2 linked regions of the Astyanax mexicanus genome follow. The protein of the gene in region 1 purifies or fractionates together with the protein of each later gene. This does not show direct contact. Links are inferred from orthologs where the notes say so. Each region holds a gene or a part of one and is shown on either strand. Other genes may lie near its edges. The genes, in order: protein BCCIP homolog and eif6.

Evidence for each region.
Region 2: the proteins of protein BCCIP homolog (region 1) and eif6 purify together in Homo sapiens (affinity purification with mass spectrometry; 3 studies listed by BioGRID and IntAct, counting the BioPlex papers as one, with this or other methods). This does not show direct contact. The link is inferred for Astyanax mexicanus from reciprocal best matches to the Homo sapiens genes BCCIP and EIF6.

What each region holds. Positions count from the first base shown.
Region 1 is NC_064422.1:13,962,658-13,969,753, reverse strand, and holds the start of protein BCCIP homolog, read left to right. Parts: upstream 1-4,049; 5' UTR 4,050-4,132; coding exon 4,133-4,255; intron 4,256-4,937; coding exon 4,938-5,012; intron 5,013-5,136; coding exon 5,137-5,217; intron 5,218-5,539; coding exon 5,540-5,626; intron 5,627-7,096. UniProt on the Homo sapiens protein: During interphase, required for microtubule organizing and anchoring activities. During mitosis, required for the organization and stabilization of the spindle pole.
Region 2 is NC_064412.1:44,150,774-44,158,360, forward strand, and holds the start of eif6 (eukaryotic translation initiation factor 6), read left to right. Parts: upstream 1-4,555; 5' UTR 4,556-4,642; intron 4,643-6,186; 5' UTR 6,187-6,234; coding exon 6,235-6,341; intron 6,342-7,559; coding exon 7,560-7,587. UniProt on the Homo sapiens protein: Binds to the 60S ribosomal subunit and prevents its association with the 40S ribosomal subunit to form the 80S initiation complex in the cytoplasm. Behaves as a stimulatory translation initiation factor downstream insulin/growth factors.

The sequences.
Region 1 (7,096 bases):
AATTTATATAGCCCTGATAGTACACCACTTGTATGTTTCACTCACTTAAAATCAGAACATTTTGATGTGTCATTTCAAAATAAAGGCCCTTTAAATTATGAAATGAAATATGAAATTGACCTGTGATATCACACAGATTCATTTTAATAACAGCCAAAACTTGTGTTAAAATAAAAATATTGTTATAATTTAAAAGGCCTTTATTTTGAAATGACATATCAAAATGTTCTGTTATTAAGTGAGTGACACATACAAGTAGTGTACTATCAGGACTATATGATATTGACCTGTGATATCAGACAGATTCCTTTTAATAACAGTCTAAACATTGTGTAAAATTACATAAACATTACAATTTAAAGAGCCTTTATTTTGAAATGACACATCAAAATGTTCTGATATTAAGTGAGTGAAACATACAAGTAGTGTACTATCAGGACTATATGAAATTGACCTGTGATAGACAGATTTCTTTTAATAACTGTCTAAACCTAGTGGTAAAATAAAAGATTGTTATAATTTAAAGGGCCCTTATTTTGAAATGACACATCAAAATGTTCTGATATTAAGTGAGTGACACATACAAGTAGTGTACTATCAGGACTATATGAAATTGAACTGTGATATCACACAGATTGTTTTTAATAACAGTCTAAACATTGTGTAAAATTACATAAATGTTACAATTTAAAGGGCCTTTATTTTGAAATGACATCAAAATGTTCTGTTATTAAGTGAGTGACACATACAAGTAGTGTACTATCAGGACTATACAAAATTGAACTGTGATATCACACAGATTTATTTTAAGAACAGTCTAAACATTGTGTAAAATTATATAAATGTTATAATTTAAAGGGCCTTTATTTTGAAATGACACATCAAAATGTTCTGATATTGAGTGATTGAAACATACAAGTAGTGTACTATCAGGACTATATGAAATTGACCTGTGATATCAGACAGATTTATTTTAATAACAGTCTAAACATTGTGTTGAAATAAAATATTGTTATAATTTAAAGGGCCTTTATTTTGAAATGACACATCAAAATGTTCTGATATTACGTGAGTGACACATACAAGTAGTGTACTATCAGGACTATCTGAAATTGAACTGTGATATCAGACAGATTTCTTTTAATAACAGTCTAAACATTGTGTAAAATTACATAAATGTTACAATTTAAATGGCCCTTATTTTGAAATGACACATCAAAATGTTCTGATATTAATTGAGTGAAACATACAAGTTGTGTACTATCAGGACTATATGAAATTGACCTGTGATATCAGACAGATTTATTTTAATAACAGTCTAAACATTGTGTTGAAATAAAATATTGTTATAATTTAAAGGGCCTTTATTTTGAAATGACGCATCAAAATGTTCTGATATTAATTGAGTGAAACATACAAGTAGTGTACTATCAGGACTATATGAAATTGACCTGTGATAGACAGATTTATTTTAATAACAGTCTAAACATTGTGTTGAAATAAAATATTGTTATAATTTAAAGGGCCTTTATTTTGAAATGACACATCAAAATGTTATGATTTTAAGTGAGTGACACATACAAGTAGTGTACTATCAGGACTATCTGAAATTGAACTGTGATATCAGACAGATTTCTTTTAATAACAGTCTAAACATTGTGTAAAATTACATAAATGTTACAATTTAAATGGCCCTTATTTTGAAATGACACATCAAAATGTTCTGATTTTAAGTGAGTGAAACATACAAGTGGTGTACTATCAGGGCTATATAAAATTGAGCTGTGATATCAGACAGATTCCTTTTAATAACAGTCTAAACATTGTTGAAATAAAATATTGTTATAATTTAAAGGGCCTTTATTTTGAAATGACACATCAAAATGTTATGATTTTAAGTGAGTGACACATACAAGTAGTGTACTATCAGGACTATCTGAAATTGAACTGTGATATCAGACAGATTTCTTTTAATAACAGTCTAAACATTGTGTAAAATTACATAAATGTTACAATTTAAATGGCCCTTATTTTGAAATGACACATCAAAATGTTCTGATTTTAAGTGAGTGAAACATACAAGTGGTGTACTATCAGGGCTATATAAAATTGAGCTGTGATATCAGACAGATTCCTTTTAATAACAGTCTAAACATTGTTGAAATAAAATATTGTTATAATTTAAAGGGCCTTTATTTTGAAATGACACATCAAAATGTTATGATTTTAAGTGAGTGACACATACAAGTAGTGTACTATCAGGACTATCTGAAATTGAACTGTGATATCAGACAGATTTCTTTTAATAACAGTCTAAACATTGTGTAAAATTACATAAATGTTACAATTTAAAGGGCCTTTATTTTGAAATGACACATTATAATGCCCTGCTATTAAGTGAGTGACACATACAAGTATTATTAGTAGTAGTAGTATTGTTAGTATTATTATTATTAGTATTATTATTATTTAATTAACATAATTGTTATAATTTACAGGGCTTTTATTTTGTGTACTACCAGGACTACATGAAATTGACATGTGATATCAGACATAACATGTGATATTATGTGGATTCCTTTTAATACCACTCCACAGCATAATGTCATGATATTTTGAAATGTGTTCCTTCTCACGCTTGCCGCAATGTTCAGTGTATGCGCGCTCTAAGAAACAGCGTGGGGGCTAGTTTGACCAAGCGTTTTGAAGTGGGGGCTGGCTTGACCGCAGTCTGACGCAGCGCGCGTCTTTAAAGGACACGGAACTTTCCTGAAGGTTCCGAATCTTTCTGAATCGATTCTGATCGGATTGGATTATCTATTTAACAGTGGAGCTGTGTTTTTTAATATATAAAGTCATATTGTTGAATATTATAGTTATAAAACAGCAACACACACCTTAATATAAAAAAATATATAATTTATAAGTCAAAGTCAAAAGTATAAGTCAAAAATCTGGACACACCATAAAGTCGTTTTAAAATTAAATAATTTAGTAATAAAGTGTTAAACAAACCAGAATATGTTTTATATTTTACATTCTTTAAAGTAGCTCCTCTTGTTTAGATGATCAGTTTTGAACATCTCTGCTGGATTTTCTCAGTCAGTTTTATGAGGTAGAGTCACCTGGAATTCAGGCTTTCAGTTAACAGCTGTGCTGAACTCTTGTGTCTTAATGTGTTTGAGAGCATCAGTTGTAATGTTCTAATCCAGATTATGAGAAGCAACAACTACCCATCAAGTAAAGACAAAAAAAAAATAACAATAAAAAATTAAGGTCAGCCAATTTAAGAACTTTAAAAGTATCCTCAAGTGCAGTTGCACTTGACCTTCAAAAACGTTATGATGAAACTGGCTCTCATCTGGACCGGCCCAGTAAAGGAAGAGCGAGAGTTTTCTCTGTTGTATAAGATTGTATAAGGTTTATCAGTGTTTCCAGCCTCAGAAACCACAGGTTACCAGCACAAGGCCCACACTTGTAAGTTGTGAGTGGTTATCTGGTGAGTGGGGTGAAACACTGGTCAGCATGCTCAGTTTGGAGTTGTTGAAGGTAAAGCTCTTTATTTCCTCCATTAATGCTGTTAAACTCAGAAACTCAGAACATTAAGTTACAATATTCATCTACAATATTCAAAATTACCCTGAGGTATTGTAATGAAAAATACACTATTCTATTATTTTTGTCTCCCTTCCAAAAACAGGAAAATATTAGAATTTAAACAAATATCAAGATTAATGTTGTGATTTGTATTTTTTTTTCAATGATTGACATCACGAATGTAAAAAATATTGAATTTGCAAACAGTGATTATTTTAGTCAAATGTAAATATTTTTTAAACGATTACTGTAATGTGTTCAAATACATAAACATAACATATATAAAATATATTATTGCATTAAAAAACAAAAGACTTTTATTTTGTATTTGCCTCCCTTCAATGGCAACCTTCAGTTCCTGAGCTGAGGAAAAGGCGGCCATGCAGGCTCTGTTTCCGCGGTTCGGCTCGGTATTACCGGGTTGGAGTAAGATCCGGAATGGCGAGCAGCCGCGCGCGGTTTCCTGCCCCTTTAAACCGCGTGTCCGCGGAGCGCGCGGTACTCCTCAGCGGGCTGGAGCTGCGCGAGTGGCGGCATGGCCTCATTTGCGAAGCGGCGCGCGGTAGGAGCGGGAGAGGAGCCGGAGGAGGAGCGGGATTCCGGGGAGAGCGGAGAGGAGGAGAGCGGGGAGTCGGAGGAGGAGGAGGAGATTAATGAGGTGAGGATTAATAAAGAGGAGCGAGTTCTCGGCCTGAGGTTCACCAGCTAAACTCAAGCTGTTCTTCCCCAAACTCTCCGCTCCACCTTAAATCTGCAGTTTTATAGGGGTTGCCGTCTGCATAGGCTCATTACTGTACGATTTAAGGTGGAATTTTGTGTTTTATGAGTAAGCAGCTTCTAACTGGTCAAACAATGCTTATCTCTGGTACAACAGAAAAAAGTCTAGTCTAGAAACTAGCTATGGATATTTGAAGTAACATCGAAGCACTGTTGTAAGTCGCTCTGGATAAAGGCGTCTGCTAAATACCTTAAATGTAAATGTTTCTTTGGTTAAAATGACTCTTTTAGTAAAAAAAAAAAGCTTGGTTCCTTTTATAAAGCAACAAAAAAAGTGTTATTGTTGTTATTAATAATAATAATAATAAATATAATAATAATCATAATCATAATAATAATTATTATTAATATTAATATTATTATTATTAATACAAATAATTAGATTGTCTGCATTGTTTCATATATGCACTGATATAAAACGTTATGAAACATTTCGCCCTTAACTCAGAGCCCCCTGACCCCTAACCTAGAGCCCTGTGAACCCTGACCCCTAACCTAGAGCCCTGTGAACCCTGACCCAGAGCACTTAGTGTTCCATTAACTTTCTTTTCTTCTGTTTTCAGGAGGTTGTTGTGGATTTTGAAGCTCACACTATATCTGATAACGATTTTAATGGGGTTAAGAAGTTGATGCAGCAGGTAACCCAAACGTAGTAACACAACCAGACGTTTATTTAATCTGGAATTAAAAGGAATATGGACCAAAGAAAATTTACTTGAGTGAATCGAGGATTACTGACTATTATTTATATATCTCCAACAGCTTTTCCTGAAGGCACATGTCAACACCTCTGAGCTGACAGACCTCATTATCCAGCAGAATCACATTGGCAGTGTGATCAGGGTGGGTGGACCTGGTATTTTGGGTTAATTATTATTATTTTTTTTTTATTAAATAGTATTAATAGTATAGGAGACAATACTTAACAGCTCTATATGGTGTAGAAAACTAATCATATGTTACATTTGAGTCAAAGGTACACTCATTCTGACACAATTAATATTAGTCTGAGTAACATTTATGTGTCAGATGTACAGTTAGGTCTGTTGGTGCTTGATGTTCTGTAAACCCCCAGCAGGTGGAGTAGTAAGCCAGGTTACCTGTGTGATCTCATCATGTGGGGAAATCAAAATTTTATACTGTGTTTTTTGTTTTCTGTTTTCAGCAAGCCGAGGTGCCGGACGACAGCGACGATGAGGATCCAGATGAGGTGTTTGGATTCATCAGCATCGTCAATCTGACGGAGAGGAAGGTAGAGCACCAGCCCTGAATATCACACACTTGAATAAATAATATATTAGTGCTATAGTGTTGCTAATTAATTGCTATGATCCCATAGTGCATAGGTCGGCAATAGGCGGCCCGCGGGCCAGATGCGGCCCGCAAGCAAGAAACATCTGGCCCGTGAGGTTGAACTATAACGAAAAAAAAAATCGGACTGTCCGTCTCAAAAATGCTCTTTATTTAGAAACTTAATTTTCCAAAACAGAAAAATTTATTAAAGATTTTTTGATAGAGCCACGGGCTGTTAGATAATCCGTGTATCATTCGTTCATTTGATATTCAATTGAGAATCAAAATCGGAAAATTAAAAAACCAATTCGTTTTTTCGTTTTTTCGTTTTTGAATATAATACCAAAAAACGAATAACGGCTTGTATTTTGTATTTTTATTTGGTTATCCAAACAAAAATTGGAAATTTAAAAAACGGACCAGGAGCCGAATTTGATTTTGATTTTGAACTTGACCCATTTGTGTGCCCCGGAAGTTACTGATTTGTTTATTCTTGGTGGGTTTCTGTTGCGCGGGAGTTCACTGCAGTGTTATCTACACAGTCTGTATTGCTGTAGGCTTTGGATGGAGTTGAGGATGGAGAGTTTTATCTTGTTCAGAGGAACTAAACGCGTTGCAGTGAAAGAAGACGATATGACAACAGAAAAAATCGGCAGGATCTTTCAGGTGTTTGTCTAACGTTCCGTAGCTAAATGTCATATTTAGTTAATGTTATTCTGTGAATTGCCGCCTACTAAATATGACATTTAGCTACGGAACGTTAGACAAACACCTGAAAGATCCTGCCGATTTTTTCTGTTGTCATATCGTCTTCTTTCACTGCAACGCGTTTAGTTCCTCTGAACAAGATAAAACTCTCCATCCTCAACGGCCCTCTCCAATTCTGTGTTCGATACATGTCTTTTTCGCTTAAGGTCGTGTTGAACACAGAACCTTCTAACACTTATTGCAGAACATCGCTGGATCCCCATTTGCTGCAACGTGCACGAAATCTCTTCATGCGTCTTACCACCTTCAAAAAGATCTTTAATTAGGCCAGAATGTGGTTCCAGTCCGGCCATGCTGCCTACAGCAATACAGACTGTGTAGATAACACTGCAGTGAACTCCCGCGCAACAGAAACCCACCAAGAATAAACAAATCAGTAACTTCCGGGGCACACAAATGGGTCAAGTTCAAAATCAAAATCAAATTCGGCTCCTGGTCCGTTTTTTAAATTTCCAATTTTTGTTTGGATAACCAAATAAAAATACAAAATACAAGCCGTTATTCGTTTTTTGTTATTATATTCAAAAACGAAAAAACGAAAAAACGAATTGGTTTTTTAATTTTCCGATTTTGATTCTCAATTGAATATCAAATGAACGAATGATACACGGATTTTAGATAACTGCTAGCTTCTTTGTTCTGTTTTTTTTTTTTTTTTTTA
Region 2 (7,587 bases), on another chromosome or scaffold:
CATGAACCAGCATGATCTCCATCTTTATGTAAGCTGGGCTAATTTGCTGATGTATGCTGTTCTAGTCTGAATGACTGCTGCCTTTTTAGTTAAAAAAACATTTAAGGTACTAAAATATTATACATAGAAACACATATGTACATTACATAAGCAACATAAGAAAGATATAGAAAAGCTAACTGGCTAGATTTCTTGAGGAGACTGCGGTCCTTTAACATCTGTAAGAAGCTTCTGCAGATGTTCTACCAATCAATCGTGGCCAGCATTCTCTTCTACGCTGTGGTGTGCTGGGGAGGCAACATGAAGAGGAGAGATGCATCACGGCTGGACAAGCTGGTCAGGAGGGCCGGGGCAGTGGTTGGAATGGAGCTGGACTCTCTGGTTACAATAGCTGAGAGAAGGACTTTGGATAAACTGCTTTCTATCATGAACAATGATAGTCACCCACTTCACACCACCATCATGAAGCAGAGGAGTGTGTTCAGTGGCAGACTGCTGTCACAGAGCTGCACAACAGACAGACTCAGAAAATCCTTCATTCCGAGAGCCATCAGACTCTTTAACTCCTCCCATCGGGGACGGGATGCTGCTGACGACTGAGTTTAATCCAGGCACACCACTCGGACATTATTCAACAACTTAATTATTTATATTAACACTTCCCCAACCTCGCTTACATTAAAGTATACCTTACTCATGATTGGGTATTCACATTTTCACATCCTCTTTTTAGTCTTGTAACGTATGCATACTTATATTATATTATATTTCTATGTCACATCAGTCACTTTCGTAATCGATGTCATTGCACTTTACTCTGTTAATTATTTAATTATTTATGACCATTAGCAACATCTACTGCACTGCTCCGTTTACAGATAGATCCTTACCTTGTATAGTTAGTTTTTTTTTTTATATAGCCTTATATATTTTCTATTCTTCTGTGTTTTGATTTGTCTGAGTATGTTTCTTATTGTATTGTGTTGTTGCTGCTGGATGCCTAAATTTCCTTCGGGATAAATAAACTATCTATCTATCTATCTATCTATCTATCTATCTATCTATCTATCTATCTATCTATCCATCTATCCATCCATCCATCCATCCATCCATCTATCTAAAATAAATAGAAGCTACAGGCTTGTCTACATTGATACAGTATCCTAAATTTCAGAGGCCTGCTGCAAGGCCTAAATTACACTAGGTGAAGCTGTGATTTGAAGTAAAATTACTGTTACAATTAATAGTATTTTTATTGTATCAAAAAAAATAAATACTAATCTAAAAAGTTTATTAATTTCTCAAAATATTACAGGACTGAAATGGGGTGGTGATTTTAAAAAATAAATTGTCCATTAGATACAGATACAGTAAAAAATAATACAGTAAAAAATAAAATAAGCTTTTGCAGTTCTCAAATCTGTAAAGGTTGGGACAGTACGTACAATATAAATACAGTGGTATGAAAAAGTTCGGGCACTCCTGATTATTTTCATGATTTTCCTTTATAAATAATTGGTTGTTCTGCCACTTCAGGCTTCAACTAGAACTTTGCCTGTGGTCTTGCATTTACTAACTATGTTCCTTACAGTGGAAACTAACAGCTAAAATTTCTAAGACAGCTTATGCTGCCATTATATGACACTGCACTGACTTTGGACTTGATATAACACAGTGAATCAACACCAGCAGATGACATGTCTCTCCAAACCATCACTGACCATAGGTAAATTTTGCATTTCATTTAGAAATCAAATGAGTCTGGAGGAAGAGTGGAGAGGCACACTGTCCAAGCTGCTTGAGTTCTTGTGTGAAGTTTCTACAATCAGTGATTATTTGGAGAGCCAATTTATCTGCTAGTGTTGGTCCACTGTGTTAAGCCAAAATCAATAATAAATGAAACAAACGCTTAAAATAGATCACTCTGTGTGTAATACATCTTGTGTTTTACATTTTGAACTAAAGTACTGAAATAAAGTATCTTTTCAATGATATTCTATTTTTTTGAGCTGCACCTGTATTGCTCAACTGCTAAATATCTGCATCAGGTGCTTGAAGGATTCTTAGAGGGAGGATTTCACCCCTTCCTTGGGCCTAAGTGAACAGTCAGTGCTTACATTTGAGGTGTTAAATAAAAAATTGTCAGACATAAAAACCTGAGATCTTTTGACAATAACTAAACTGTGACAGTTAGGACAACTGGATCAGAACACCTTTAGAACAATAGGAATGGGCTTTCCCAAATGGCCAAACATGCTTTACACTCACTCACTCACTCTCACACTCTCTCTCTCTCCATGTTAAGATATTCTTAATTATGTTAAGAGGCTTTAGGGAAATTTGGCCCCAGGCAGGTCATTTAGGATGTTTCCAGGTTGCAGTGGTCAGTAGTACCTATCAAAAGTGCCCCAAATACTGAATAAAAGCTTCAGTGATGATCATTTAGGCCTCACCTCACAACAGGGTTAAATTATCTGCTAATAACATCTGAAGATTCCACAAGATGACTGAGCAGTGTACACTATCTTTCTGCTGTGCTGAGTGTGTTTAGTGTAGTCAGAGTGTAAATGGGTGAACATGGGACAGCAGCGCGCGCTGTGATTAAATCATTACCCGGCTCTAGACTCCAGGCCTCGAGCTCCAGCGGGTCTGTTGGTGTTTCCAGGCAGAAGCCGGAACGGCCGAGAGTCCGCGCGTGACGCGCAGCTACTGCAGTGACGTGCCTCAGCACCCAACCAATAAAAACGTCAAACAACACAGCCGTCACAACAGAAGCTCTGCCTGATTGGCTCACAAATCAGCCTGGTGGTAGCCCCGTTGCTATGCAGGCTGGTGGAGCAGAAAAGGGGAATATAAATAAAGGTAGCTTGGACAGCCTTCATAGATCCACTGCAGTTTAACTCTTTAGAGAATGGACTAATAAAAATACAACCAATAAAACAGGTTTATAAAATGAACAGAAACGTATTCTAACATTATTAAAATGACATTTGACATTTGGTAACTATGCATGTATATAAACTGTGATGGCCAGAAAAGTTTTTTATTACTTAAAAATATATTAATTTAATATCTAATTTCACATCAATCAGAACCTTTTGGCTGTTTTATATTGACTCGAGATTTTCTCGAGATTCCATGACAAAATGATAACATAAAAGCCATGTCTTTTTAAACATATAAATGTACTGAATATTGCAAATAATCATATGTTATTTGAAATGCAAGTAACCACATGGCATGTGGCATTATAATCCTGTGTCACATTTCTGCGTTTATATGCATGTTGTTGTTAAGACCCTAAACCAAACTTTTACAGATGTAATGTAGCTAATAAAATTGTATTACAATAAATTAAAAACAATTCAACATTTATTTTCATAGAATTTTCAAATGTTTTTGAAATGTATTTGAAATAAGCCACTGGCCCCCAGTAAATTACATGTATAAATGTGCTCACAAAATAACTTTATAGTTAATAGTATAGTGACTTGCACATTGACCAAAAGTAAGATATGTAATTAAAAACATTTATAAAAACTACTTAGAACACTGAAGAAATAGCATTTGTTACCTGTCCCTAACCTATCCTGTTACCTAACTTAATTCTTAAATCTTATTTGTTTATTGTTAATTTTGTGAAAATCACTAGAATGTGCTCAGTGTCCTCATGCTTTTATCATAGCTGCCTTGAACTATTTTTCAAATTTTACAAATTTTATGCTAAAAACAATTTCCTGTTAGATTCAATCATGTTACTCATAACATAAAAAGTAACAGGAATGAGTGCCAGTAACAGGAGTAAGTGCCAGGAACAAGAACGAGTTCCAGTAACATGAATGAGTATTGTCCCTTGGTTTATTGATTTATTATGGTACATTAGTTAATGTAAAAACCACTCTTTTCCAATTATACTTGGTTTATCATTTGTTTAATAAATTGTATAATAAATAAATTTGATCAATTTCAGGTTTGTGTCTTCTTGAAAAGATAAAAATGGCTTTGCATATTCTAGAAAAATACAATGTGCATGCATTTAAACTGATTTTTTTGTCATAAATATTAATTATTTTGGCATGCGGTCAACCATTTCTTCAAAATCAACACTTTCTTGAGAGGTAGTCTAAGGAATAAGTGGACTTGCTTTTAAACATGCTTTACCATCTTCGGACTAGAAATCTTGTGAAAAAAATAAGTTATGCCGTCTGAGATTAACCAGTACATGTTTTGATCAGTTAAATACGTGTTATTAGATTCAGAGTTTTGTAAAAAAAAAAAAAATTGTTTAATTTGGAAGAGTTACAACAAGCAAATGACACCCATTCTGTTTATGCTGCACGGAACTTTCACTGTCCGTAAACGCTAACTTTCAGCGGCACATTCATTAGCCTCCAATTATGTCTTGTATTTACTGTAAATATACTCCAAAAACATACTTGCAGCATTTTAAGTGCGTTAAGAGGAAATTTCACACAATACAAAGCAGCTACTACTACCTGCCCCCACAGCAACAGCGGCCCAGCTCTCCTGTCATCCAAGGCGGCGCGCGCACGTACAGAGATCCTGCGAGCTGACGTCAGCACGCCTTTAAGGAAGTGAACACGTGGGTCTTCTGAGTTCTCCGAGCTCCGCGCTGTTGTTGGTAATTTAACTTTTTTTCTGTTTTAGGCACAAATTCGGCGCCGCTTCGCCATGTTTTATTATAAAACTCGTAAATGATCCGAACAAGCGCGCCTGTTCGGCCGCTGTTCGACTACTAGTTTAACAACACCGTAATAATAACAGTTAGAGAACGCTAGCTAGGCTAACTGCGTGATGAGCTCGGCTCTGAAACCAGCAGCGGTCTTAATAATAATAATAACAATGTGGTTGTATAATATAATATTATAATGTAATATTATTAAGTATAATAAAGTGTTCTCTTGAGATTACTGAAGATTACAGTCTGTGGTTAGGTAAGACTAGTTCAGCAGGAAAGTTAAATACAGCTCAGAAATTCCGCTGTAACAGTCTGGGGTCTCTGAGTTGCTAAGCTTAATGTAACCCGAGACTATTTAAAATTACATTAAGTAATCAATCAGGTTAAAAAAAAAATCTGTGTGATATACGAGCACGTGTTCCTGTGATAATCCTCACTAGTAATCGTTAATATTGCTTCAAAGGAAGTATTACAGCGCCCTGTGATTTAATTGTTCTTCTATCATCTATCCTTTTCATCTGTTTGTTCCATTATACTGTAACGTCTTATTTTTGTATTTAGTCTCTTTAATTTTTCCCCCTACTATTTTTGGGGGGAATTAAATAATGGATAAATAAAGTATTTTTTATGACACAAATAAATAATAAATTTATTATTTATTATATTTATTATAGTAATGCCAATTAAATAAAAAATACATATTGTAAAATAAGTAATTGCACAAATGCTAACTTCTGACCTTATTTAAGAACACTCCACACTGCTATAAAGGTTATTGAAGAGCATACATGGGGAGATGGATAGCATGGTTAACATGTGACCAGCTTCTGAAGTTTAGTGAATTCCATCATTAGGAATATAAGGAATATGAGACATTAGATCTGCCATGAGTTACCATTGACCATGCATGGGAAAAGTAAAGAGTGAAAATGTATAGATGAGATGCTAAAGGGTCTACATAATACAGCAGTCAAAGCTTTATGGAAGAGCTACAAAGAGAAATCCACTGTTAAAGAAGCAGATATTAAGTTATAAACAAGTCAACCAGAAGACGGTTCTATGGTCTGATGACGTTAAAATAAAGCTTTGTGGCCTCCAGACCCAAAGTTATATTATGCAGACACAGAATACTGCACCTCACAACAAACACATCATGGGGAGATGGCTACAGGGTAAAATGAATGCAGCAAAATTTCTGAAAATCATGGCGGGCATTCCGAATAAGCCTGTACAGTAACAACAATAAGATCTGTTTTACAGAAAGACATTGACTTTGAAATTGTAGTGGCCGAGTCAAAATCCAGAACTTGGTTCAATACAGAATCGCTTCATGTTAAAGAAATAGTGCACTATATAGTATGTCAGCCATTTTGTAGTGCTGTTTGAAATCCTAACAGTACATTATCAAATTCAATTAAAATTCAGGTTCTTGTTTTAAATGTTGCCATAAATGCTGCTAATTGTACCAATCTGCTGCTGTTCCCCAGGTTCTGGCAGACTTGAAGACTGTATTACATCTTGAGCTTGAAGCAGACATGGCAGTTCGAGCTTCATTTGAGAAGAACAATGAAATTGGATGTTTCGCCAAACTCACCAACACATACTGCCTAGTCGCAATAGGTGGATCAGAAAACTTTTACAGGTGAGTTGTCTGTGGAAACTTAGACCCAAATATTCCAAATACAGCTCAGTAAGACTATTGGGGAAAATTACTGCAGTCCTTTTTCAAAAATTGTTACTCTTTTAAAATTGTGTTCATGTTGTGGGCATAAAAAAGTGAACATAAGTTTTAAAGTTAAATAATTAAATAAATGTCCAGCATTGTGTCTGGACTGGATGTTTTTATTTTTTTAAATATACTGTAAATGATTTAAAATAACAATAATACTTGGACAGTATTGTGACAGGCCAGAAAACAGTGTAGTGAAACCTGTAACAGCGTTAATCTAGAATAATAAAGCGGGTTATGATTCAAGGGGTATAGAGGAGTTACAATTTAATATTCTGTCAGCATCGCAACTGCGTTTTCGAAGGGTAAACATCCGAGTGCAGTGATGACCCAACAACAGCATCCAAAGAACTGCAGGCTTCACTTGCCTCAGTTAAGGTCAGTAATCATGACTCCACCATAAGAAAGTACAAATATATCTGGGGTAAGTCAGAAAAACATCATACCTACAGTAAAACATGGTGGTGCTTTGGCTCTGTTTTGCTGCTTCATGGCCTGGAAGACTTGCTGTGATGAATGGAATCATGAATTTCGCTTTATACCAAAAGATTCTGAAGGAGAATATCGACCATCTGTTCGTGACCTCAAGCTGAAACGAACTTGGGTTCTGCAGCAGGTTAATGATCCAAAACACACCAGCAAGTCCACCTCTGAATGGCTGAAGAAAAACAAAATGAAGGCTTTGGTGTGGCCTAGAATTCCTGACCTGAATCCGACTGAGATGCTGTGGCATGATCTTAAAAAGGCGGCTCATGCTCGAAAACTCTTCAGTGTTGGTGGAATTGTGTGAAGAAGAGTGGAGCAAAATTCCTCCACAGAGATGTGAAAGACTCGTTGCAAGTTACCGCAAAAGTTTGATTGCAGTTGTTGCTGCTAAGGGTGAAACAGCCAGTTATAAAGTTTAGGGGACAACACTTTTCACAAAGGTCTCCCTACTAATAAAAACCTTTAGTTAAAAAAACTGCAGTTTGTGTTTACTTGTGTTGTCTTTGACTGATATTTACATTTTTTTTAATGATCTGAAACATTTAAAAGTGACAAACAGATTTTTTTTCACACCACTGTATGATGAGAATTTCTCAACACACTTTGAAAATCTGACTTTTTTTTCTGAATTGTTTTTGTTCACAGTGTCTTTGAAGGTGAATTGTCAGAAACG